3 linked regions of the Rhinolophus ferrumequinum genome follow. The protein of the gene in region 3 interacts with the protein of the main gene of each other region in a biochemical or structural test. Links are inferred from orthologs where the notes say so. Each region holds a gene or a part of one and is shown on either strand. Other genes may lie near its edges.

Evidence for each region.
Region 1: of the proteins of MYLIP (region 3) and LDLR, one has a biochemical effect on the other in vitro, tested with the Homo sapiens proteins (4 studies listed by BioGRID, with this or other methods). The link is inferred for Rhinolophus ferrumequinum from reciprocal best matches to the Homo sapiens genes MYLIP and LDLR.
Region 2: the proteins of MYLIP (region 3) and CNPY2 form a complex in vitro, tested with the Homo sapiens proteins (2 studies listed by BioGRID). The link is inferred for Rhinolophus ferrumequinum from reciprocal best matches to the Homo sapiens genes MYLIP and CNPY2.

What each region holds. Positions count from the first base shown.
Region 1 is NC_046301.1:39,348,635-39,356,926, reverse strand, and holds the start of LDLR (low-density lipoprotein receptor), read left to right. Parts: upstream 1-4,997; 5' UTR 4,998-5,020; coding exon 5,021-5,207; intron 5,208-8,292.
Region 2 is NC_046293.1:55,632,835-55,640,712, forward strand, and holds CNPY2 (protein canopy homolog 2), read right to left. Parts: upstream 3,435-7,878; 5' UTR 2,936-3,434; intron 2,370-2,935; 5' UTR 2,345-2,369; coding exon 2,257-2,344; intron 2,101-2,256; coding exon 1,985-2,100; intron 1,132-1,984; coding exon 928-1,131; intron 770-927; coding exon 673-769; intron 313-672; coding exon 269-312; 3' UTR 147-268; downstream 1-146. Other genes in the region: PAN2-PAN3 deadenylation complex catalytic subunit PAN2, read right to left, coding at 4,667-4,701, 5,033-5,230, 5,495-5,588, 5,716-5,895, 6,027-6,170, 6,267-6,424, 7,019-7,109, 7,308-7,367 and 1 more. UniProt on the Homo sapiens protein: Positive regulator of neurite outgrowth by stabilizing myosin regulatory light chain (MRLC). It prevents MIR-mediated MRLC ubiquitination and its subsequent proteasomal degradation.
Region 3 is NC_046292.1:78,574,754-78,582,622, forward strand, and holds the start of MYLIP (E3 ubiquitin-protein ligase MYLIP), read right to left. Parts: upstream 3,347-7,869; 5' UTR 3,108-3,346; coding exon 3,021-3,107; intron 1,924-3,020; coding exon 1,733-1,923; intron 1-1,732. UniProt on the Homo sapiens protein: E3 ubiquitin-protein ligase that mediates ubiquitination and subsequent proteasomal degradation of myosin regulatory light chain (MRLC), LDLR, VLDLR and LRP8. Activity depends on E2 enzymes of the UBE2D family.

The sequences.
Region 1 (8,292 bases), on a different chromosome or scaffold from region 3:
GCTCAGCTCCAGGTCCAGTTGCCATTTTCTAGTTGCAGGGGGCGCAGCCCACCATCCCTTGCGGGAGTCGAACCGGCAAACTCGTGGTTGAGAGGACATGCTTCAACCAACTGAGCGATTTGGGAGCTCAGCGGCAGCTCAGCTCAAGGTGCTGTGTTCAATCTTAGTTGCAGGGGGTGCTGCCAACAGTCCCTTGCGGGACTCAAGAAATTGAACTGGCAACCTTGTGGTTGAGAGCCCACTGGCCCATGTGGGAATCAAACCGGCAGCCTTAGGAGTTAGGAGCATGGAGCTCTAACCATCTGAGCCACCGGGCCGGCCCAAGGTGAGTGTTCTTGACTTAATAAAAAAAAAGTAAAGTGTGGCCAGTTAGCTCAGTTGGTTAGAGCGTGGTGCTATTAACACCAAGGTTGCCGGTTTGATCCCCACATGGGCCACTGTGAGCTGCGCACTCCCAGGAAGGAAGGAAGGAAAGAAAGAAGGAAGGGAGGGAGGGAGGGAAGGAGGAAAGAAAGAAAAAAAGAAAGGAAAAAAAAAGAAATCAGATGCTGAGGTTGCTAAGAGCTACGGTAAGAATGAATCTTCTGTTCATGAAATTGTGAGGAAGGAAACAGAAATTTCCTTCCTCAAACTGCAAACTATCTCATCTTAACAATATTAAGCCTTCCAATCCATGAACTCAGCATGTCTTTCCATTTATTTATGTCTTGTTTTATTTCTTTCAGCAACATATTTTAGTTTTCAGTGTACAAGTCTTTCACCTTCTTAGTTAAATCTATTCCTAAGAATTTTTTTCTTTTTGGTGCTATTATAATTGGAATTGTTTTCTTAATTTCCTTTTTGAATTGTTCTTTGCTAGTGTGTGAAATGCAACTGTTTTTATGTGTTATTTTACATGCTACAACTTTGTTGAATTTGCATATTATCATGTTTCCCCGAAAATAAGACCTAGCTGGACAATCAGCTCTAATACGTCTTTTGGAGCAAAAATTAATATAAGACCGCATCTTATTTTACTTTAATATAAGACCGGGTCATATAATATAAGACCCGGTCTTATATTAATTTTTGCTCCAAAAGACACATTAGAGCTGATTGTCCGGCTAGGTCTTATTTTGGGGGAAACGGGGTAGTTCTAACAGTTGCGTGTGCGTGTGTGTGTGTGTGTGTGTAGACTCTTTTAGCGTTTTCTACACATACAACTTCTACTGCTTTTCTACCTCTTCCTTTTCCATTTGGATGTCTTTTTTTTTTTTTCCTTTTTGGCTAATTATGCTATCTAGAACTTCCAATACTATGTTGTTGAATAGAAGTAATGAAAATAGGCATCCTTGTCTTTTTTCTGATCTGAAAAAAAATCTTTTTGCTTTTGAACCATGGGAATGTTTTCAACTCTTCAAACTAAATGCAAATATCCTTTTTCTCTAGTAGCCTTCCACTTCTCATACTAGAATTGGCCTCTGCATTCTCAGGCACTGCGTGGCCTTGTGTTTATAAGTACATCCTGCCTTGCTCTCTCTCCTGAAGTCCTTGAGGACAAGGTGATATCTTGGTCAGTGTGGGGACAGAGCCAGGAGTGCAGTTTCCAGGCTCTCAGCCTCACGTGGAAAGGTGCTGGCTCAGGTAGTAAATGGCCGTCAACTGTGATTGGATGGCCATCAGCTGTGGCTAGTTGGCTGTCAGCTGTAACCAGTGAGCCATTGGCCACTAATATAACTGCTATGGCCACGCTAGCAGCAAATGGGGACTAGCAAGCAGATGGTGGCTGAGCTAGCAGGAGCAGACTGCAGTTAGCATGGCGGATTACAGCTAGCAAGGAGGTAGGTTGGCAGAGAAGTGGACAGTGGGTTGCAGATCGTGTGGCTCCTGCTTCCTGTGTCTCCAACCCAGCTGCCAGTGAGACTATAGTGGTATGACTCCCCTATCTATGGCTCTGTGGGTGTTCCTTTTTGACCTCACCATGTCCTGCGTTCTTATGTGGGGAGCGGGACCAGAGACCCTGCATGACATCCTGCATGACACCCCGCATGACAGTCAGTTTTGAATCTCCCCCAACCACCGACTCAGGGCTGTCTCTGTGTTCTCAATATAGACTTGTTATCGAGTCTAGAGTTCTATTTGAAAGGAAGGACTCACAGCCCAGGACAAAATTTGAATTCCAAATTATCAAAATCCCAAGGACAGTGGAATTTAGAAATAGCGCATCTCTGATGTTGCAGCCACTCCCATGATACTTTCTCTTATTTTCATTTATTTATTTAACCCTTACTACAGACAGGTGCTGGAGATATAAGCCATGGTCTCTGCCCTCACGTGGCTAACAGGTATTTTATGGAGATAATTGATGGCAACCAAGTCAAGGCAGGTCCCTAATCGCACCTATTAAAAAGCACCAAGGCACCTGTGGTTGGTTACTCACACTCTCTCTGGGCCAAAGGCCAGACCGCAGCTGCCATGGCTCACCTCTGCCAAAAGGCCTGACTTCTTTGGGTGGAGCCTTATTGTAGTCTGAGCCTCCTGGTGACTTAGCGAGGTGAAAACCGGGATAAGGCGGGCTGTCCATTAGAATAAGGAAAATGCCTAGCCTGGGTTGTTTTACACGACTTTGTAAGCCCAGGAACTTTCAAATGAAGCGGATTCCAGGAAAGGATTACTTTTAAGTGCCTATGAGAAAGAAAGTCTTCCTTGAAGAGAAGAAGGAAAAAAGATGCTGTTGTAACACTAAGACAACCAAAAACAAAAAGCGAACCCATGTATGGTGTTTATTATGCCAAGCACGGCTCCAATCACTTCATATACATACATATGTAAATTCACTTAATTCTCACAACCCTCTGAGCTAGTTGCAGAAGAGCAATGATGGCTCCATAGAGGTAGAAGTTGAGAAATGAATCGGCGTGACCCCTTCACAGGGTACTATGTGACCATGTCCATGTGTGGTGTTAGGGACAGAAGGGGCCTCACGATTTCCGCAGGCAGGTCAAGAGAACTGGGGAGAACCTCAGCAATGTTCTTTTCAGAGTTTTTGTGGCCCTTTTCCAGGCCTGGCCTTACATCTACATAGGACTAGCTCCGGAGACACATTAAGCTAAGTTCCCTTCCTGAAGAAAACCTCTTCCTGGTCACTCTTTCCAGGCCTGTGAAGAGGAAAGGACCTCCTACCCCCAGGTGGTTAAGAGAAAGCTGGGCTCACAATAGAAACAGAGCACAATATGTCTTGTACTTTTTCTGAAAGGAAATCAAATCTATGATCCTAATTGACTGAAAGAAAATGTAGCATATGGTATAAGGGATGGAATTTAATGGTGACACATTGAAAATTTTGCAACAACTCCCAGAACTTGTCCATCCTTGTAAATTTATGTAGGTGATGGCTAATTATTGCATTTGACTCTGACACTGAACCTGCCAAGTAAGGGAAACAGGCATATTTTCCAGGTTGTGAAAGCTAATTTACTCACCCATGCTCTGTCTGATTCTGGAGTTGGGGCTCTTAACTGCCAAACACTCTGTTTATAAATTTCTTCCTCTGGATTAATCACCATTTTTCTTTCCAAGTGTTCAGTTGTCCCCTTTCTGTCTTCTCTCATGGGTTTCCCCATCAGCGTACTAAGAGCTTAGCATGCCCCGCCAAGCTCAGTTTGTAAGCCCCAGAGAACTCTGCTCATTCTTGGGGGAACCCTCCAAGAAGTCCAGATGTTGTGGGAGCCTTTTTTGGCAAGGGGCCATTGGCAACTGCAGGAATCCCACAAGAGACTCTGATTCTTAAAAGCTGCTCTCTATCAGCTCTGTTCGCTATTCACTTGACCCAGAAAACCCCACAAAGTCATGCAAATCAAGAGATTCAAATCTTCGTGTTCACTTTAAAAACACTCATGATACTGCACAAGCCATCAAGGGTATGCAGATCTAAAACGCCACCAAGTATGTGAAGAATGTCACTTTATAGAAGCAATGTGTGCAATTCCATCTTACAATAGTGGACTTGGGAGGTGTGCCCAGGCCAAACAGTGGGGATGGAGGAAAGATTGGCGGCCCAAAGAGTGATGAATTTTTGCTGCACACACCTACAAATGCAGAAAGAAACGCTGAACCTAAGGGTTTTGATGTAGACCCTCTGGTCATTGAGCACAGCCAGGTGAACAAAGCTCCCAAGATGCAGCGCAGAAGTTCGTGGGCAGGTTAACCCATAATGAGCTCTCCCTGCCACATTGAGCTGATCTTAACTGAAAAGGAGCAGATGGTTCCTAAACTAGAAGAGAAGCTTGCCCAGAAGAAAAAGATACCCCAGAAGAAACTGAAGGAACACAAACTTATGGCCCAGAAGTAAATTCAGCATCAAATAAATGCTAATAAATAATTTTAAAAATGTCCAGACTCCAGGTTATGGGTCAATTGATTTTAAAGACGTTTTTGCTCCTAATTCATGTAAGTGCCGGATCCCACCAAAAACCTGTTTTTGGCTGTACTTCTGTGAGGATTTTATTTAAATGCCTTATTGATTACCATTTATACTGTAACTTGGAAAAGCTATCTAAAAACTATATAGGACTGAACTCAGTTGAAATCTATATACAATTCCTAGAAAGGAAAAGGCAGTAGAGAAAGGAGGGGGGAAGTTTCCAACATTTTTAGTTTTTCCTTTTGAGGCAGAGGGGAGACTGCCGTTAGACAATTAGATGTTTTGGAAGGACAGACGGTTTCATCTTTGGGCACCAAAGAGAAAGGTAGCAATTAGAAGTTAAGGGATGCTTAAGGAGGCACTTTTAGAAGGCACATTTCCAGTTTGGGGAGGCACAGTTTTTCACGGGCTACCCACATTCGACAAAGCAAGGAGCCCGCCCTGGAGCGGCTTTGGAAAACAGTGGAATCCGTCAGGGCTTCACGGGTTAAGGGGCCTATGTCACATCAGCCGTTCGAAACTCCTCCTCTCACAACTCCTCCTCTCACAGCGAGGTGAAGATATTTGAAAATCACCCCACTGCAAACTCCTCCCCCCTACGAGAAACCTCTCATTGAAATGCTGCAAATGACTGGGGCCCCGCATGCAGTCGCCGCTGGGCTGCGCGAAGCCCGGGTTTCCAGCGGGGACACTGAGGACCGCGGACAGCGGATAACGGCCTGGGCCGGGGCGTTGCTGGAGGGGGCTGGGAGCATGAGGCTGTGCTGGTCCGTCGCCCTGCTCCTCGCCGCGGCGGGGGCTGCAGGTAAGGCTAGCTCCAGGCGCCCGCGCGGGGTCAAGGTGAGCTCCTCGAACTCCGAGAGCCCCGTGGTAATTTTTTTTTAAGGGAAAAACGAAAAATCACTCCATCCTTGGGAGACGTGGGGGGAAATGGTACGAAGTCCTTTCGAAACAGCTGAAGGGAGAGTAAGGGGCGCAAGGGTTTGGGGAATCTGGAGGAGTCAGGCGAAACGGGATGCGGATTTCCCCACAAGTCTCCGTGAAGGGGGGGGATCCCCTTGTCTCCCTCAGAGCAAGGCACGAGTACCTCCAGCCCTGGGGATGAGGGACCCCTTCCCCGAGTTATTTTTGGGACAAGGGTGACGCGAAGCCCCGCTGTTCAGCCTGGAGGTCCTGCAGATGCTCCTCCGCGCCCGCCCGCGGGCAGGAGTTACCGAGGCGGCCTAGTTGGCTTTGTGCTGCCCGAGGGCGCCACTGGCTCTCGTAGCAGAGCAGAACGCGTGGGCCCCGACCGCTGCACGCGCGCTTCTGCCGAAGGCCAACGCCTCCCACCCCGCCCCCCGCCCCGCCGGCCCGCCCCCGATCTCCCATTGGGCGCGATTCAAACAGGCGAGCCTCGAGCCTCTCCTCTTGACCAATGGGAGGCGGCTACTGCGGAGGCACGCTGCATGGGGCGGGGCTAGCTCGGGATTCGTGGGGCACCTCGTTCTGGGTGAGGCGGGCCGAGGAGATTCCTCGTGTGGGATCCCGGCTCCTGTCACAAAGGAGGCGACACGCCCCAGGCCCCTGGATCCGCCGCCGCAGAGCGCCTGGTTCTCTTTGCGGTTTCCTCCGCGATCTGTGGCGAGGGCTTCATCCCCACTTTGTTTTCAGGGCCTCCCTCCTTCGCCTGCCCGGGACTAGTCGCAGACGTGTCTTGGTTCCTTCTGAGGCTGAAATGCCGGTCCCTCCTCGGACCGGCACTTAGGGGAGGAGCAGGCACCGGGATCCAGCGATACCCGACGGACCCCTCAGGGTTGCCTAATTTGTCCAGAGACTCTAAAGAGGTTCAGTTGAGCTGTTCACATGGCAAATTTTCATTTTAGGGGATTTCAAATTTAGATTTGGGCAAGTGGCTAGTTGGTGCATGATCCTGAGTGGTTTTTAAAAAATGAGCGTCCAGAGGCGTTTGACCATGCCCTAGGTAATAGATAAACATGGGCCTTTTCCTATGTTGAACCAGCTCAGCCCATAAAAGGACTGGGATTGCCTGGTTAACGGGATTGCAGGAAGTTGTTTTTATGGGGGAAGGGGTTGGCTTTGAGTAGAGAGCTTTGAACTCGTGGAATGCCTACCTGTGACACATGGGTTTCTGCCGGGAAGGGAGAAACGGAGGGAGGTTGCCCTCACATAGCAGAGGACTGAGGTGATAATTTCACCACCAGTTGCGTGAAGTGGAGGGAGCGTGGCTTGGTCAAATGACACTTGATTAACCTGTAGTTCATACACCGATTGACTCCTTCCCTAGAAGGAAATAATGGCAATGAAGTCTTGAGCAAGATGTGATGGTTACTTTAGTTTTTTCTCTCACTGGGTGGCTGGGGATCTATCTCCTTTTCTCAAGGAAGCTCTGAGTCCTGATGTGTTCCCCAAACTCCTGAGAGCGGGCAGCTACTTCTCTCCTCCCGAGCAAACAAGATGCCCTACATTCGAAGCAACCCTGGCTGCCCCAGTTTGCTCCTTAGCTGTCTTCAAAGCATTTCCGGGGAGGAGGTGGGAGATTGTCCGTTTCCTTTGTGAGTGAAGTAGTTGGAATCTGAACTGCAGGCCTTCACTTAGCCAGATCAAAATCTTTTAACAGTTGTCCTACTGGAGCAAAGGTGCAATAACAGCCTCCATAAGGAGAAGGTATCTTAAGACTGACAAACAAAGCAGGCGACTCTATAGAATATAACAGAATTTATTATAGGGTAATTTACTTAAGGGAGGATTGCGTCGGAGTGGAAGAGAAGACCCAACGGTTTGGCACAAATTGTTCTCTGCTGAAGACTCCTGTTACTGAACCTTTTTTTTTAATAGTGTAACTTAGGTACTAATGACTGATAGATAAGACAAAGGGACAATGCAGTAGTGCCATACCTCCTGTGGTCCATATTATCCCAGTTTGATACTCATCTCAGTTGTCATCCTGGCCATTACTAACAAAAGTATTTATGGTTAAATTTTAAGGAACAATGGATACTCATTAACCAGAAGGCTTTGATATGCTTACGAAGGACAGTGAGGTTGGTTAAAAGTCACAGCATGAAGGGACACAAAGATGGAGATGGTTTTTTGTTCACATCTACATGTATACCACAGTTGTGAATAGAGTATCAAATATGCCAAGGGCATACCAAAACTCCAAGAGAAAGTAATGTCCTCCTAAGAGTTGTATCTGCTTTAGCAACTTCTTCCAGGCAAACTGGTAAAAGATAGGGAGAGCTTTTTGGAGACTGCAAACCTTTAAGGGGAATGATGTGCTTCATTCTTTCTTTCCAGGCTAGTCCAGCTCTTATCTGTAGGGTTCCTCCCCTGATAAGATCCAATTCTAGAGCCTTTGTTGCTCATGCTTTGATGGTCCCTTCACATTCTGATTAAGTACATTAATAACATCCACACTTCACCCAGTTGTCAAGCAAGTGACCATTTGTTGCTAAGAACTGCGGAAGTAACCAGCAGTGAACAGTGAAGTGACAGAGACAGGCTACTGCTCCCCAAAGTTGCTGGCAACAAAATCAACCTGGGGATAGAGATCACTCCTGGGGAAAATACCCTTGGCATCTGAGTTTGGAAAAGAATCCTGGTATATTGATTTCCCATTCATTTTCAGCTAACTCTGTTAGTTCCAGCCATTTATTTTTTTTCCAGGAAATGATTCTATCTATAATTTTGATTTCCCTTACCACAACTATCTTCAGTAGCACGGGACAGCTAACATCGAAAGCATTTGCTACCTCATTTGTGCACTGGAGAAAAAGCAGAACTGTGTATTCTCCTTTTCTGTTTCGATAACTTTGTTCCTGATTGGTCACTCCTAACAAGAGAGATCTAAGGGCTAGAGTTTAGAGACTTTTTTTGGAGTGCTTATG
Region 2 (7,878 bases), on a different chromosome or scaffold from region 3:
ATGGCAAAAGAATGAAAGCTTCAGGCTCCTCCTACCTTCATTCCCAAAGCTCTTCCTTCCCTTCCCTTTTCTTTCCTGTCTGGAATCCCCTATCTTCAAGTCTAATGGAAGGGCTAATTCTGGGCATGAAAAGACAACACAGTTCATACTTGTAGTTTCATATTTTTTCAGTTCATTTCAGTAAAAACATAATATAAAAGGCATTGCCACCCTCTTCCCCTCCTGGGGGTGATCCATCAAGCCTGTCAGTCTGGGCCGCTCCAATGGTTCATAGCTCATCATGCGATATGTGCAGGGCATGGTCACATAGATCTGCAAACAGCACATAACAGTTTGAAGGAAAATGCCACTCTCATACTGATATATGCCACTATCAAGAAAATACTCCAAATCAAACTGATACACATACCAACCACCGTTTTTCAGAGCATATGCTTTTAAATGACAAAATATTCCCATTATCCTCTCACCTGTGCCTCAGGTGAGGGAACCACAAATTCTGAAAGCCGACAGAGAATAGAGAGGGACAACCCAACTCCCTAAGCCATGGGTAATGGAAGATAACTCTTGAGCTAATATCAGAGGGCAGAGGGCTGGGGGGGGCGGGGGGGCACACTAAGGAATGTACCAGTTTCTACAGGACTGTGAGGATAGAAAGTGGGAGCAGCTTACCTGTTCGCTTACTACAGAGTTTGTCTTTGACATTGTCAGCCTCTCGGGAGAAGAATTCAATGAGTTCATCCTCATATTCTTCCACAATGCTCTCACACTGCCAACCCAAGGGAGAAACGAGTGAGAGAGGGCAGCACGAAGAGGCCTCTTGCTTCTGCCTCCAGAGAGGACAAGGGTATTAACCCAACTTTCCACTTGAGCTCTCCAATAACTCCCCTAATTTCTAAGAACCAGCTACCCACTTCCATAGCTCACCGCAAACTTGAGGGTGCCGCTGATGTCTGAATCAATTCGGATGCCCTGTAGGTCCAGTTCATTGGATTCTCCATTCCGGCTCACTACACGTACATAGTTCTTGCGGTGGGTGGAAGGATCAATCTGTTCCCCATACTCCTTCATCCGGTCACATACCTCCTCTAGTAGCTCTGTGAGGTGGGCCTCTGAGCGAGCATAAGGCACCTAGAAATGTCCTCAGCCTTGGGTCACACTCTTCTACCTCTGTACATTAGTAATTTATATCCTTTTCCTTCCAAATCTAGCTATTCTAAAAAGCTAAATGCTAAAAAGCCTGCTCTATTTAAAAACAGTATGGTTTATTTGTGTAATTTCAAAGTGCTTTCAAATATATGGTCTTATTTTACCTCAGTATACAAGCCTAAGAAATAAAACAGGTGTCATTAGGCCCAAATTATAAACAGAGACCTCTTTGATTAACCCTAGCCAGCTATGTATTCTTTTCCTTTGAATTCCCTTAATTCTTATGGGTGTAAGGTAATGATTTTATTTTTATTTTTTGTATTGAGACTAAAACATGCCCTCAACAAGAGAGGATTAGAAAGGTAGTGTAGGCTTGAGGAAAACAACTATTAAATCATTTCACAAGCATTACAACCTTAACATTTCTTTATTGTTCACTAAGCACAGCTTTGTTATATGTGTGTTCTGTTTTCAATTAAAATAAATTTCCTAAATACAAGGAAGAATAAGACCTTCTGTTTCTTTTTTGAATGTTTGTGTGTATACTGTATTGCCATAGTGAAAACATGAATCACATGGATTAAGGATGTGGAGAAGGGGTTCCCTGTCTGCTAACAACTTCTACAGCAGAAACAAAATATTAAGGTTTGGAACCAGGAAGTAAGTGCATAGGGTATAAGCCTTCAGCCTTTTCCACATGAGACAGCCGTATCTTTTAGATACCTCTCTGGGTCAATGTTTTCTTCATTTCTATTAAACCAAGCTCCTTCTTAATTAGTTGAGTTCTCATTCAAAGTCAGAGTGATCTACTTTATTTGGGGGAACAGTAAGTTACCTCCACCACTGACTGGCTGCCATCTGGATTGATTCGGAAAGAGCCCATCTGAATGGTCTTCTTGGGATCCACCTGGGCAATTTCCCACTCTAGTTCATCCACCAGAGCCCTGCAAGCTGGTGCAGGGGGAGAGAAGATGGAGGAGGAGAAAGGGGGAGAAAGGAATCAACACAGGGATTTCCACTCATTCTTATCCAGACTTTGGATATCATGTCCTCCCAAAGCCCTGTCTTCCCCACCCTCCTTCCTCCCACTTCTCTTTGTGTCTTTACCTCCACAGTGTAGATCCTGGCTCCTCCGAGCCCAGGCAGTTCCCAGCAGGGCCCCCAGAAGCAGGGCCAGCCAACCCCAGCCTTTCATCTTAAACGTAATGGGGTTGCTCCACCTGGGTTTGGATTGGAATAAGGCGTAAGTATGAGGAGCCAGCTCCATTCCCCCAACTTATCCCTCATCCCCATGCCTACAGAGGCCTCAGTGTGACTCTGGTTTTACTTTCCAGGAAATGGCCGGGACACAAAGGGGCTCCTCTGTTCTGGTGCTTGAGGACCCGGATTACCCCGGGCGGTGAGGGAGAGCGCGAGCTCAGGATTTAGGACTCAGCCCCCAGACACTACGTCGACAGGTGAGGCCCTAGCTGTTGGTACTTCAGCGTCGGCCGCCTAGAGCTCACGGGGCTATGTGGCAGCTACAAAACGGAGGCTGGCGATTAAGCGAGGACGAAAGGCACAGAGGAGCTACCAGCAAGGAGGCCAGGAGTCAGTGAGGTGGCTGGCCCGCGAAGAGTACGCTCAATAAGTAGGGCCTATTTGGACCCAGCATTGGAGATTACTGCGTCCCCACCTCCAGCCTATAACCTATTTCCCGTGCGGACCAGCCCCCTTTCTAAGGACCCCTCCATTGCCTGCGCTCCAGTCCATCCCCGACCCTCAGCGCCACTCGCATCCGTCCCACCTCTGCTCCCAGGGCCGCCGCCTTGGCCCAGGCGCTGGAAGACGGTCGTACTCTCACTTCAGCTCTGGACCTAGCACCTGGCTAGGGGGGAGCGGGGCTGTCCGGGCTTCTCCAGAGCAGTCCAGAGCTTTTCAGACACGGGGTGGCCCGGCGACCGCCTGACCCAGATCCTCGCACCCTAAGTGGGCGCCTAAACCCGGCTCCGATGCTCTGCGGTGCAAGCCCCACACCAGGGATCGACCCCAAACCCGCTCCTCTAAAGTCTCGCGCGGACAGGCAGCATCCGAGCGGCTCCTAGGCAGCGAGGACCCCAATGGATCGCAGAAGGACCCAGACTTGCGTGGCTTGCAGGTCCACGTGACCACCAGGGGGTCAGCCGAAGAATAGGAGTGGCTTGAAGGAAGGACAGATCCTGGCGTGGTGTATGGAGGTGGTCAGGCGAGCGTGTGTGGTCGGTGTAGGTGGGCTAGGTAGGACCTTCAGAAAGAAAGCGCTGCTAGCCAGTAAAAAGCCCTAGTTTCAGTACCTAGGAAACTACATCTCCCAAGAAGCACCGCAGCACCACATACTTTGTGAGTAGCTACAGGTCTCAAGATATCCTGGGACCTGTAGTTTGTCACCTTCCCCACGCCTCTTTTACAGTTAACGGGGAAACCATACTGTACATCTTACATCTTAAAAAGAATCTGACTTGGGGGCGGCCGGGTGGCTCAGGTGGTTGGAGCGCTGTATTCCTAACACCCCCGTTTGCCAGTTGGATTCCTACATGGGCCAGTGAGCTACGTCCTCCACCAAGGGCTTGACTCAAGAGTTGGTGAGGGAAGGGAGAAAAAAAAAAACTGCCTGAGGATACTAGCAGGCACAGCAAAGACCTAACATTGCCCAGGAAAGACATAATTATACTTCCCCAATATCCTTAACTTTGGACTCCACAAAGCTTTACCTTCGTTTCTGGGTGGGAATTTAAAAACCCTTAGGTTTTTCCCAGTTGTGATAGAAAACCAACAAAAAGGAGAGGAGGACTGAAGTCTGAGAACCCCACACTCGCAGGTCTCTAATAAGATAGATGACAGCCAATATTATTTTTGTTTTATTTTATAAAACATGCAGTTTAAAACAAAATTTTAAAAAATAACAAGAAAACAAAACTTGGGACAGGAGAGTGGAGTGGATGGAAGACAGATGCTTCTCAGCTGTCAGCAGGAGTGAAGCCAGCAGCCAAGCTTTGTCTAGGACCCAATGGCCCTTTTGGCAATGATGGTGTTGGCAATACTGGTTTGCTAGGGCCACCAAGAATACACACTAGCTCCTCTGGCATTCCTCAAGCAATCAGAGACGAGCTAAGTCTTGAGCTGCTGCTGTATCTAGTCACAGTCCAGTACTTCAGTCCTTAGCCAACTAGGAACGGGGAGTTTTGGTTCCAGGATCTTCTTTGCCTGGATATTAATCACTCAGGATATTTATTAAGAATACCAATCAATTTTCCATCTGGGTCAATTCTAGACTTTTTCTGGCCCACTGTTTTACAAAGGATGAAAAAATAATCTGGCTCCTAGACCCTTTGCAACAATTCTGCTGCATTCCAGTTCTATTAATAGCACCATCTATAAACCCTGAGCAGGTCCAATTCTGGAAGTGGACAGGGTATGGCCAACTTGGGAAGCCATCTCCCAGTTCTGGGACCACAGAACACTGAAGGGAGAGGCAGTAGTTCTTTGGGAGAGGGTGAGGTCAGAGTGCCAGCACTGAGGAAAAAACGGCTGCATCTGTCAGAGACAAAAGCAAGAGCATTGACTCGTAAGATGAGTGGAAAAAAAGTACCTGGGATACTTCTTATGAAGGAAAAATGCAAGAGGAAAGAGCATGGACCTGCCCCAAACATTTTAGAATTGGGCAAGAGGATGTTAGGACTAGTAGTTTGATAACAAAATCTATTTCACTGATTGTTGGGAGGATTAAGTGCTCTGGAAACTGTTGCGTGCTTTACAAATGTAAGGTAAGAGTGGTACTGTTCTCATCATTATGGTGGGTATAATCTTCACATATGCAATCAAAACCCACCCAGTCCAGTTTCCCTTGTCCCATCCCAAGCCTTACTCTTGGGACTTGTCTGGCCTTCAGGCTCAGGCACCTTCCAGTCCATCTTTCGGCCCTTCTCGTAAAGACCCTTGAGCACTTTGTGGAAGGACTCAGGTTCAGTGCCATTTTTGCTTAGCTCCAGATACTTTCGGTATAGCTGAAGGGCTGTGCGGGCATCCTCAATACTGTCATGGGTCTCCCCTTGAATCTTCAGGTCTGGGGGAAGCAGAGGTGGAATAGTTTGGGACCTAGCAAAGGAAGGTAAAACATGTCCCCTACTCACATCCCCAGCCCCGGATAAACAACAACAAAAATATGACTGCCCTTAAGGAAATAGCCAAACACCACTCCTGGTGCACAGAAGGGATATTGAAGCTAATTAAATCCATTAGTATCTCTCACCACTACTCCCCTTGGCCCCTCCAACACTTCTGCCTGCTCTTAATGAGCACAAGGGCCTTCAAAGGCAGAGCAACTCACCCAGAAAGTACCAAGCAAGGAATCGCAGGGAAATCATTCGTTTTCGGGGCATGTGAAACAGATAGACAGTGTCAAGGACTTGGTCCTTGGGCACCTGGCAGGGATAAAAGAATGGGAGGCTGAAGGTAGGAGAGCCATAATTTCCCATTCTCCAAAAGCATAATGTATACCCTGAGGGGCCCACACTCAAAAAAAGACTCTTAAAAGAGCCCTGCCCGAACCATGAGGTTGATGACCCGGAAGTCCTTCTGCAAACCATGACCCACAAACTTGACTCCAATATCTATGAGAAAACGAAGCTTTAAGTAGGTAGACTTGAGAGTTGTGAGGTGCTTAGAGGAAATCTTGGCATCAAGGTCTCCTGGCTTTATCCCTGAGTATTGAGTCAAGTAATCCACCACCTAGGGATAAAGAAAACAGCAAGTCTCCAAGGAAGCAAGGTGCCAAGTCCCCCCTACTCCTCTTCCCTGGGTTCTCTAGCACTCTACATAAGCACAGGGTCTGTCTCACTTGCACCTGCCTATTCTAATACCTGCTCCTGGGTGGAGATGTAGTCATCAATGAACGGAATACCCTCATTCGGTCCCTGGCCCCGAACACAGGTAATCCGCGCTACTGACATCTGGCTTGGTTTGATGGTAGACTTGGTGCCATCACTGCGCAACTCTGCTTCCTCCTACATGAGAAGAGTTAATAAGGAAGTCAGAGAAATGCTTCTGACTCCTAATAGCCCCAGAATTCTGTCCCAAAATCCACTTTTGGCCTTGGTTACCTCATTAAGGGTGACAAACTCAGCATCCAGGCCCACCAGGTCCCCAACCTGTGGCATCTCATTCAGCATCAGCGGAATAAAGGTAGTATGTGTTTTCCGCTGCTTCCGTGCCAGTGAGGCTTCAGCCAGCAGGACACTTGCCTCAATAGGGTTCTTGACTAGAAGGGAGAATCCGGAAGACAGATGGCTGGGGACAGGGAAGTGACCAGGGGAGGGAAGCCCAGGGTGGCTGACCAGAAACCAGGTCTACACTGTGATCCCTCAATAATCAAAGCATGTGAATAAAAAGATCATGTTTGATGAACAGAGCAGGTAGATGGAACACGTGAAATTATCAAGAAATATACTAAGGAAAAAAGTCAACAAAAGGAAAGAATAAGATATTTACTTTGGACTTTAGCTTAGAAAACCTAGAAAAATGAAGTTACAGAGAAACTATGGTTTAAAGTCACCAAAAAGGGACTTAATAAGGAGTTCACCTCCAAAAGAAGAAATCTTGGGGATAAGAATGATAAGACTCAAAATCATAACTTTAGCCATTTTTATCAGACTTTTCCCCCATAACCTCTTTCCCACTATACCCTCCGGATCTCCAGCTTCTAAATTTAAGGCCTTATAAGAAGGAATCTCTGTAATATCCTGGAACTATTAACACTGGTTACAAATCCTAATCTCAACAAGCTATTTCCCAGGTCTCTTTCTGAAGACCAATCTAAATTGCCCACACCATGGGTCCACTCTGTACCACTTACTGTTCAGATTATATTTGGAATTAAGATTCCTTTTGATGTAATAAAGGATGGCAGGCACTTTCCAATTCATATCAAACTGCACAGCTTCATGCTATAAAAGAAAAAGCACTGAATGGCCCCCTTTTCCTTTTTCCCATGTCAGACAAAAGACAGGACTAGGTACCATTTTTATTCTTGAAAACCCATCCCTCCTCCCTCCTGAATCTGCCTGGCATTGTCTAGGGCACCGAGGATGAGGATGCTAGGAAAAAGGGAGATGAAAGGGGGAATGCAATGTGTTATAACTAACCTTATCGATAGGTTCAATGAGAAAGTCATTGAAGAGATACCACTGCTGGTGGGTAACGCCCTATGGAGATACAGAGAAAGGCTGATGCCAAAGTGATGGCTGGAATCACTCTGGCTCAGACTGAAGATAAGGACAGACCTGGGATTCCATTGTGGCCACCACCAGGAGTGTCCCTGCCCTGTATTACCTCACTCACCTCCTTGCGTTGGTGGTAGGTCTCTCCAACTTTGATGTGAGCCACCAGGCTGCCCCCTGTGCGTGAGTCCAGGATGTGTACCACAGTAGCCATCAGGTCATACACATAGACACCATGCTCCTCCTCTGCCCTGGCTGGGCCCCACTGTGAGGGGGGTACCCAGGCTGCTAAGCTAAGTTTAAGGATGGGGAAGGAAGGGGAATGGGGATAGAGGACAGGGAGTCTGGGGTATGTGATGGGGGACCAGGGTGGGTTATCTCCATTCTAGCCCATCTGTGACTCCCAATAATGAACTGAGTCACTCTGGAAAAGCCCACGACTGGTAAATATTCAGCCGGATTCCCTTTTCCCTATACTAGGTTCCACCTTCCCCCT
Region 3 (7,869 bases):
GCGCTATTAGGTATGAATCTCAAGAGTCAAAGCCAATTGAGTCAATAAAGTAGGAAATTTGATTCCAATTCTAATTCATAGAATGTCTCTATTTCTTGCATGAATAAAATGGATTTGATAATAGTTATTAACTCAATTACAAGAAAGTACAAGACCGTCTAGTAGTAAATTTTAAAGTCTGTAAGCATTCATTATACAAATGTATTATATAATTATAACTGTAGCCATTGTTTAAAAGATGTATTTGCTCTTCGAAGCTTCTACAGATTTAAAAAATATATTTGTGTCATCAAAATAGATTTGCATCTGGAGGCCCTGAAATGACTGAAAATCATTATAAAAGTACACAATGAAAATTCCAATATATTGTGATATATATATATATTATATTCTTACTTGACTGCCAGTTATCACACAGAAATGCAAAGTGGAACCTTTCACAAATCAGCTTTCAATAAAAAAAAGAAAACCCTCAACCCATTCTGATTAATACACAGCTAAAACATCGTTAAACATGTAATCACTTGAATATTTTGCAAGACATTTTCAAGAGCACTAAGAATTTAATATACCAGTTCCTTCAGAAACAAAACTGAACATTTCCCTCACTCTTTAAAGCTCTATAATGAGACAAAGCAGAGATTTCAAATTCAAATAAACAGTATTTCAAAATATGTTTCTATCAGTCTTTAGGTAAACAAACAAAAAATGTCATGTTAAAACTCTTAAAGGTATTGTTTACTCATCATTACTCAAATTTTCACATTCACATTTTTATGTACAAGAAAATTTCCAAGCCAAACAATTATGGAAAACATTAGAATTTAGAGCTAAAGTTTGCTGTATTTAGAATTAGTTGTTTTTCTTAATTTTTTTTTTTAACATGCCACTGTAAGATTTAGGTCTCTTGCATTTCAGCAATAAATGTTCAACACTGCTTTCCTAGTTTTCTCATCCTTTAGAAAAGTATTCCAGTCAGCCCAGAGAAGAAAATGTTTTCGGTTTGCAAGAGAAAAACACCTTCTCTGGTTTTCTACCACTACTGGTGGTGTTCTAAAGCGATAAATTTAACAATCTAAATGCAACAATAATATATAACATATCTGTGGGATGGAGTTTGGTTATACTGTTCTTAAAAGAGTTCTCTAAGTTTTCCAGAAACTTAAAAACTTTTAAAATTCTGCATTAAGTCGGACAGAGCTCTTTGCTACACATTGTAATCTGACACTAGCCTGAAGAAGTTGACCAAGTTTAAGAAGGGTTTCCTGCTTTCTGTTAGAACAGTCTATAGTGACCTATAGTAACACTGCTGAGAGGCAGGGGTTACTCTGGGGCATTAGCTGCTGCTATCAGGAAGTCAGTGGGTCTTTTCCTTCCTTCCTTCCTTCCTTCTTTCCTTCCTTTCTTCCTCTCCTCCCACTGCCCCCCCACCCAGCCCCGCATCTGCCATTGTGTTTGTAAGAATTCAACCCTGCTCTCCCATTGTCTATAAAGACAAGAAAAACCACAAGAAGAGTTGGAAAATGTACCCCATGTCAACTATATAGGTCCCTGTTCACTTTGATATAAGGGCTGCGCCATGGAAAACTTCGAAGTGATGAACCAACTCACTCTTCTGTATCAAAACAAATTTGCCTTTGTTTTGCCTAAACATCTCTGGGAAGGTGCAATGACCCTTTCTAAATGGAACCAAAGGCCTATTTGACATTGGTTTATTTAAGCATCACTTTACCTAGTCTGCTCCTGTAAGATGAGATGAGGCTCCACGAAGAACTTGACTCTCAGTTTAAGCCGGTAAGGGGCTAGCCCATCCATCTGCTGGGAGATCCGGTTTCTCAGATTTAGCCATAAACTTTCACCTTTGCTACCCGTAAACTGCAGTCCAAAATAATCAACTTCTATAATTCCCAATCGCCTGCACACCTGAAACAAAAATGAATGCAGCATGGATGAGCAAATGGTCCATGTGGTCAAAGTAAACCCAAGGACTCCACTGGCTCTAAGATTTCTGCCTACTCTTTACAAAGTTCAACAACAGTGTTACAATTTCTGTTGTAAACTGGAAGAACAAAGATCTAGTGATGCTAAACTACTAGGTGAAGCATAGAAATGTCCTTTAATACTCAGGACACGGCCAATGGCAGTAGAGAAAAAGGAGTCCTCAAAAGCAGCCTTCCAGAAAGGCTGAGGAGGGCAATCTCAGGGAATTTTCCTCCTTATTCTAATCACCAAAATTCCCTCCGTCAACACAAACGACACAGTTGATTTGGCAGCTTAGTATCTGGACAATTTTAACCATCTGCACTACCAAAAAACAAACACATTGAGGAAACACGCCACAAGTGTCAGCTAAGCTTTGAAAGGGTTTTCCAAACATCTCAGGTCTAGGGGGTTTGAGAGCACAGCGTTTCACTTGAGATCAAATCTGCTGTCTGCCCTACCAATATGCAGTTTGGAACCGTTCTTCGCTCTTAAAGAAACGCGTGCTTAAAGACAAGCGAGGAGTAGATGCCAAAACGGTACTCTCGTCCTCGCAAACCCGAAGATGCAGGTGAATGGTCCATTTGAGCAGCAGCAAGAGACACGGGCCCGGCTTGTCTGCCAAACAACCTGAGAGACCTGTGACCGCTTCCAGCCACCTCATCCCGGGACGCAGGTGTCGCTGGCAGGCCCCGCGGGGACCCGACCGGCGGCTTCATGCACACACCTGCGGCAGATGTTCTGGTCCGCCTTCTTCCGGGAAAGTGCCGAGCTGGGGCGGGGGGATCGGGGGACAGGGTGGCCGGCCACCGCGCGCGTACTCTGCGGTTTCCCACGCGCTCCCGGCTGGGAGGCCATGTGCCCCAAGCCGGTGGAGTAGGGGGCGCGGGCCGGGCGCCTGGGACGCGACCCCACCCCCCCACCCCACCTCCGCCCCCACCGCAGCGCCGCCCGGCCCCTGGCAAGCGGTGCGTCCCAGGTGCACTGCGCCGCCGCGAGGCCCCTCGGCCTAGGGTCCCCGCCTGACCCCTCGTCCTCACCTGGTTGAGGCAGTCCTCGCCGTTGGCTTTCGCCTCCACTTCCACCTCCATCAGCACCGCGTCCGGCCTCGTCACATAGCACAGCATGGCTGGGGCCGCGGCTGCCGCCACAGCCGCCTCCTCTTTGGTGTGAGCGGGGCTGCCGCCTCCCCACCAATCAGACCCAGCCCGGGTCTCAGTAAGGCTGGTCCTCGGGACGCTGCCGCCTTGCAGACCCTTGTCCTGCGCCCCGCGGCCGCCGCGCCCTCCTGCCACCCCCTTGCCAGCCCGCTAGCCCACCGGCTCTCAGAGTCTCCACCGCGGCGCCGCACTCCAGCAGCCAGACTGCCTGCGCCGCGACAGAGACTCCTCTGATATAGTGGCTCCGCCCCCTCCGGCTGGGGTCCCCGCCAATCACAGCGGTTCTGCCCCGCCTCCGCTGCCCCGCCGGCTAATAGAGGCGCGGGATCGGCCGCGGCCCCACCTCCCAGCGCCGTCTGCTTTCCGGGGCTGCCTGGGGAGGTGGCAGCTTGCGGGCGCCGAGTACTGCGGGAGGAGGGAGGCCGGGAACACACCCGCTGCCTCTGCCCGCTGGGCGACGCTACTCCGAGCGAGCGACCGCCACGGGCTCTGAAGCAGAGTCGCCTCTCTGTCGGGCTTGAATTTACAGTGATGAAACGCCCTGGCTCACTCCGAAATGTATTTCGGGAGGTGAAAGCGAAAAGGAAAGGGAGCAACCCAAAATCCTGAGGACAACTATTTTTTCCTGGGGTTTGCTACCGTGGGTTGTCCAAAGGCCGAATGGTTGTTCCTCATTTCAGACCTAGTCACGGAAAACTCGCATCTGAGTATAAAAGTTTTGGCAGTTGACCAATAAGTCAGGGAGCTTGATCTAGTGCTTCTGTATGAATCCTCTCCAGAGGCTTCTAGTTACCTGTTCTGTTGAATCAAAACACCTTATAAGGTACTAAGGCCCTCTCTCAGGTTGCCCATCCTATCGCATGTCTTATCTCATTCACTCATTAAACATTAATTGAGCATCTGCTGTGCTGCCGATCCCTTCTCTCAGGCAACCAAATGTTCTCCCCGTCTTAAAGGTAAGGGACTCATCTCAGAACCTAACAGGTGGTATAACCTCAGTAGTAGCTATTAATTATTCAAGGTCTACAACTCTTCATTCATTTACTACTTGTTCCTCTCTGCCAACACATCATTCAGCCTAGTTTTTTGGTTTCTTTATAGGAGAAGAGAGCAGATGTTGGTTTTGGCCTTGAACCCTTGGAAAACTTAATTCATCTCTCTGAAGCTCGGGGTTCTCAACAGTGAAATGGAGATATCTGCTCTGCCTGCTTCCCCTCCCCACCCAGCATTACTGTGAAGAACAGCAGAGATAATGTTCCTAAAAGCATTTGAATGACCCTGTATATGTGTAATGTCAGTTCTGTCATTGCCTGCCAATGACTTCTGTCCTTACTCTTTTGCCTGAGTCCCAGTTATCTCTGTCCCAGCAATCTTTTGGTTCTGAAGAAGTAGGAAGGATGTCAGAGCAGAATGCTACAGGGAAGGATACTACCACAGTCTTTCACCAAAGCCAACTATGGGGAAAACTGTAAATAGTCAAAAGTCCTGACCTCCAGGGCTGCAGATGGCCATGTGCCCCTGAACATGTGTCTTTTGGATACACCTCGCGATACTATGTTGCTGAAATAGACCCATCTTGTTTCCCATTCCTTTAATTCCAGTTTATTTATCTGGAAAATTGGTCTGGAAGACAACATTTGGATGACTGTTATCTAATCTATGCTTAATCACTAGAAATTTTAGACCTAGGGAGAAGAGGTGAGGGGCAAGATGGAAGCAAGGTGCATTGGTTAATATTTTTGTTTACTGAGAGACTAAGCTGGCCAAATCAAAGTCAGCTAACCAAAAGTTGGCTAACTTCAGCAAAAAGGAATTTAGCACACAATTTTGGGGAGCTTATAGAATCAGTGAGGACTAGGCATGAAAATAAATAGAAAGGGAGAAATATTGGTTGGCCAAGAGCAAAAATAAACAAACGAAAATAAAATAAGCAAAAATTAAATACTCATTTTGTAGAGAAACAACTTTAAAAATAAATTATGTTTTTGATTTTGGCAGGCATATTTCTAATCCAAGACCAGATTATGCTCCTGTTATGAGATGGTTGGTAAAAAAAAAAATCCAGTTGTTTTAGAAATTAAAAATTATCAGATAAGACTGAAGAGGAGAAGGATTTCTTAACACAAAACAAAAAAAAGCAGGAAAGCCAAAAACAGGAAAAACATGGCATTTGGGAGGGGGGAGAGATCCTGATAACTGAGGAAAAAAGAATACTGGCTGCTATTAGCATACACAGGAAATACAAGACCAATCTCTCTCTCTCTCTCTCTCTCTCTCTCTCTCTCTCTCTCTCTACCTCTCTTCTCCCTCCCTCTCTCTTCCCTCCCTCTCTCTTCCCTACCCCTCTCCCTCCCTCCCTCCCTCTCCCTCTTCTCGGTCCTCATTTCCTCCCTGAGTAGAGCTAGGTTAGTTGGGGTAAGGAACAGTATGCTCAAAGACCTGGTTAGGGACTAGAAAGTCCACAGCAGAATTTCTTCCTAGAGGATCCCACCATCTGGTCCTGCTACTAAAGGTCTAGAGCCAGTTTCAAAAGCCCCAGCTGGGCCTAACTCCAAAATAAGAGACTCTGACACCCTGGCCTGGGGGTGGTAACTGTATTGGATCAAGCTGTGACTCAAGCAGTTCTGAATTAGCCAAGGAGGTGCTACATTTTATCTGTCTTCTTTCCTTTGCTCTCAAATAGCTATCACCTTTTAAAGACAGCATTAAAATAAACCAGGGAAGTACAAGGATCAGCTGCATGAAGGGAGATTTTTTTAAAATAGAAATCATAACTAAGTGGTAGAGTCAGCTAAGCCAGTGGGGTCCTGGCTGTTCAAAATCACCCAAGCAGCACAGTTATTCTGTTTCATAGACTAGGGCTAAAGACTGAGCATAAGCTAACATTTGCAGAACGTGATGTGATGGCTGTCTGGCTAAGGAATTTTTCTTCCTGTTGAGCACTAGGTCTGATCTGGCTGGCTGGATACCTATCCTTGTTCATTCCTCTCCCAACGCTGCACACACCCCTGCAGAAACCCTGTTCTGGGTCAAAGGAAAGGCGCTTCTCTTTAGCTCTCAATGTTCATTTGTAGAAGCATGAAAGGAAGAACACTTAGAGACTGCCTAAAAAACTGTCCGTTTGCTTTCACACGTGATTCAAGCTAATTATTCACATAAGCAATATTTAATTTTGCACAAGTGTGTTAGAATTGTCGAATGAGCTGAAATCTCTCATTTGAAATTCTGGAGTAGGTTAATTAACCGTGGCCTACCATCAAAGCAGAGTTGTCGCTTCCAAAACTGGCTGTTTGAAGAGTGAATGAAGGGATGGAGGAAGAAGAGGTAAAGCCCATATTACAAACTTTGGAACATACCAAACAGCATCGTCTTAGTTAGTGAACAATCGCAATGATTTTTTTCTATTTGTGAGGGTAGTTCACGTTCATGGTAGACTACTTGGAAAAGGCTAAAAAGTACAAGGGAAAAAAATGCTCCTGTAACTTTATCAGGCATTTCTAGTTCATATTGATGTTTCACTTTGGTACTTTGTATGCAATGTGCTCTAAATTTTGATTGTGATAAAAACAAATACAGCACATAAATTTCTGGAGACATATCAGGAGAGCAAGAAACACAGGGGGTGTGCAGTTCCAAATCCATACCTAGTGTTATGACTATCAGGAAAATTATAAACAGAAAGAACAATCATTACGAAAAAAAATTAGTATTGTTTCTGAGCTGTTTTCTTTTCTAAAATACATACAAGCCTTTCCTCTATTTGTTTTTCTTCTCACTACTCATACCCTGAAACGTCAGATTTTTGTGATATGCTTACTTTGGCATGCATCATTTAGTGGAGAGACGCTCAGAGCTGGGAAATCATTTCCAACTTGGCACATTTTGTTTAACAACAAAAATATTTTGCTTAATATTTTGATACCTGTTATTTTAATTGTGAAGATGATCAATAATAATTTGGCCTGTGTTGTTACAGGTGCTCCTCAAGTCTGGGGATATGCAGATACTGATCCACCTCCAATAGGGTTCACTATCACGCTGATCTTGAATGAGATTCGGTGGGTGATGGGTATGCAATTGGGAGCCATGGAACAGAGGACAGACCCAATCTGCCTGAGGCTCAAACTCACAAACCTGTCCTACCTGGAAGGTGTTCTAATCAGTTGATCTGTAATAACACCTCTCCCCTTCCCTCACTGTGTCTGAGCATGCCTTTCTGTAAAGGAAAGTGGGGCCAACATGACATATTTTGTGGATGGGTGTGACACAGAACTCACTGGGGATGGCCACTTCCCAAATCAGTGGGACATTAGGGAGGACCAACTTCCCAAAGAAAAAATGAACAATGATTAGAAATGCTATAGAAATACCAAAAGTACATGAAATCAGCTACGTATGTTGGACAAACCACAAGATTTGAATAAACAAGATAGAACAAGATAAAACTATGAATGCTTTGGCATGAGGCAACTTCTCACTAAACTTCAATTACACCATCTCTGCCCAGCTCATTTATTGTTGCTGACATTTGTAGAGTTTATGTCACTTGATAGGAAAATCTTACTCCTCTTTCAGTTATTCAGTGTTTTGCTTTGCTATGTTCTTAGAGACTGTGATTATTTAAAAATGACTTGACAGCAAAGGTCTGCTTTCTCCCTGGCAATCACTCAGTGGCTATAAGTACCCAGCCCTCTATCAATTGCTTTTTTCTCCCTCTTCTCTCCCCTGG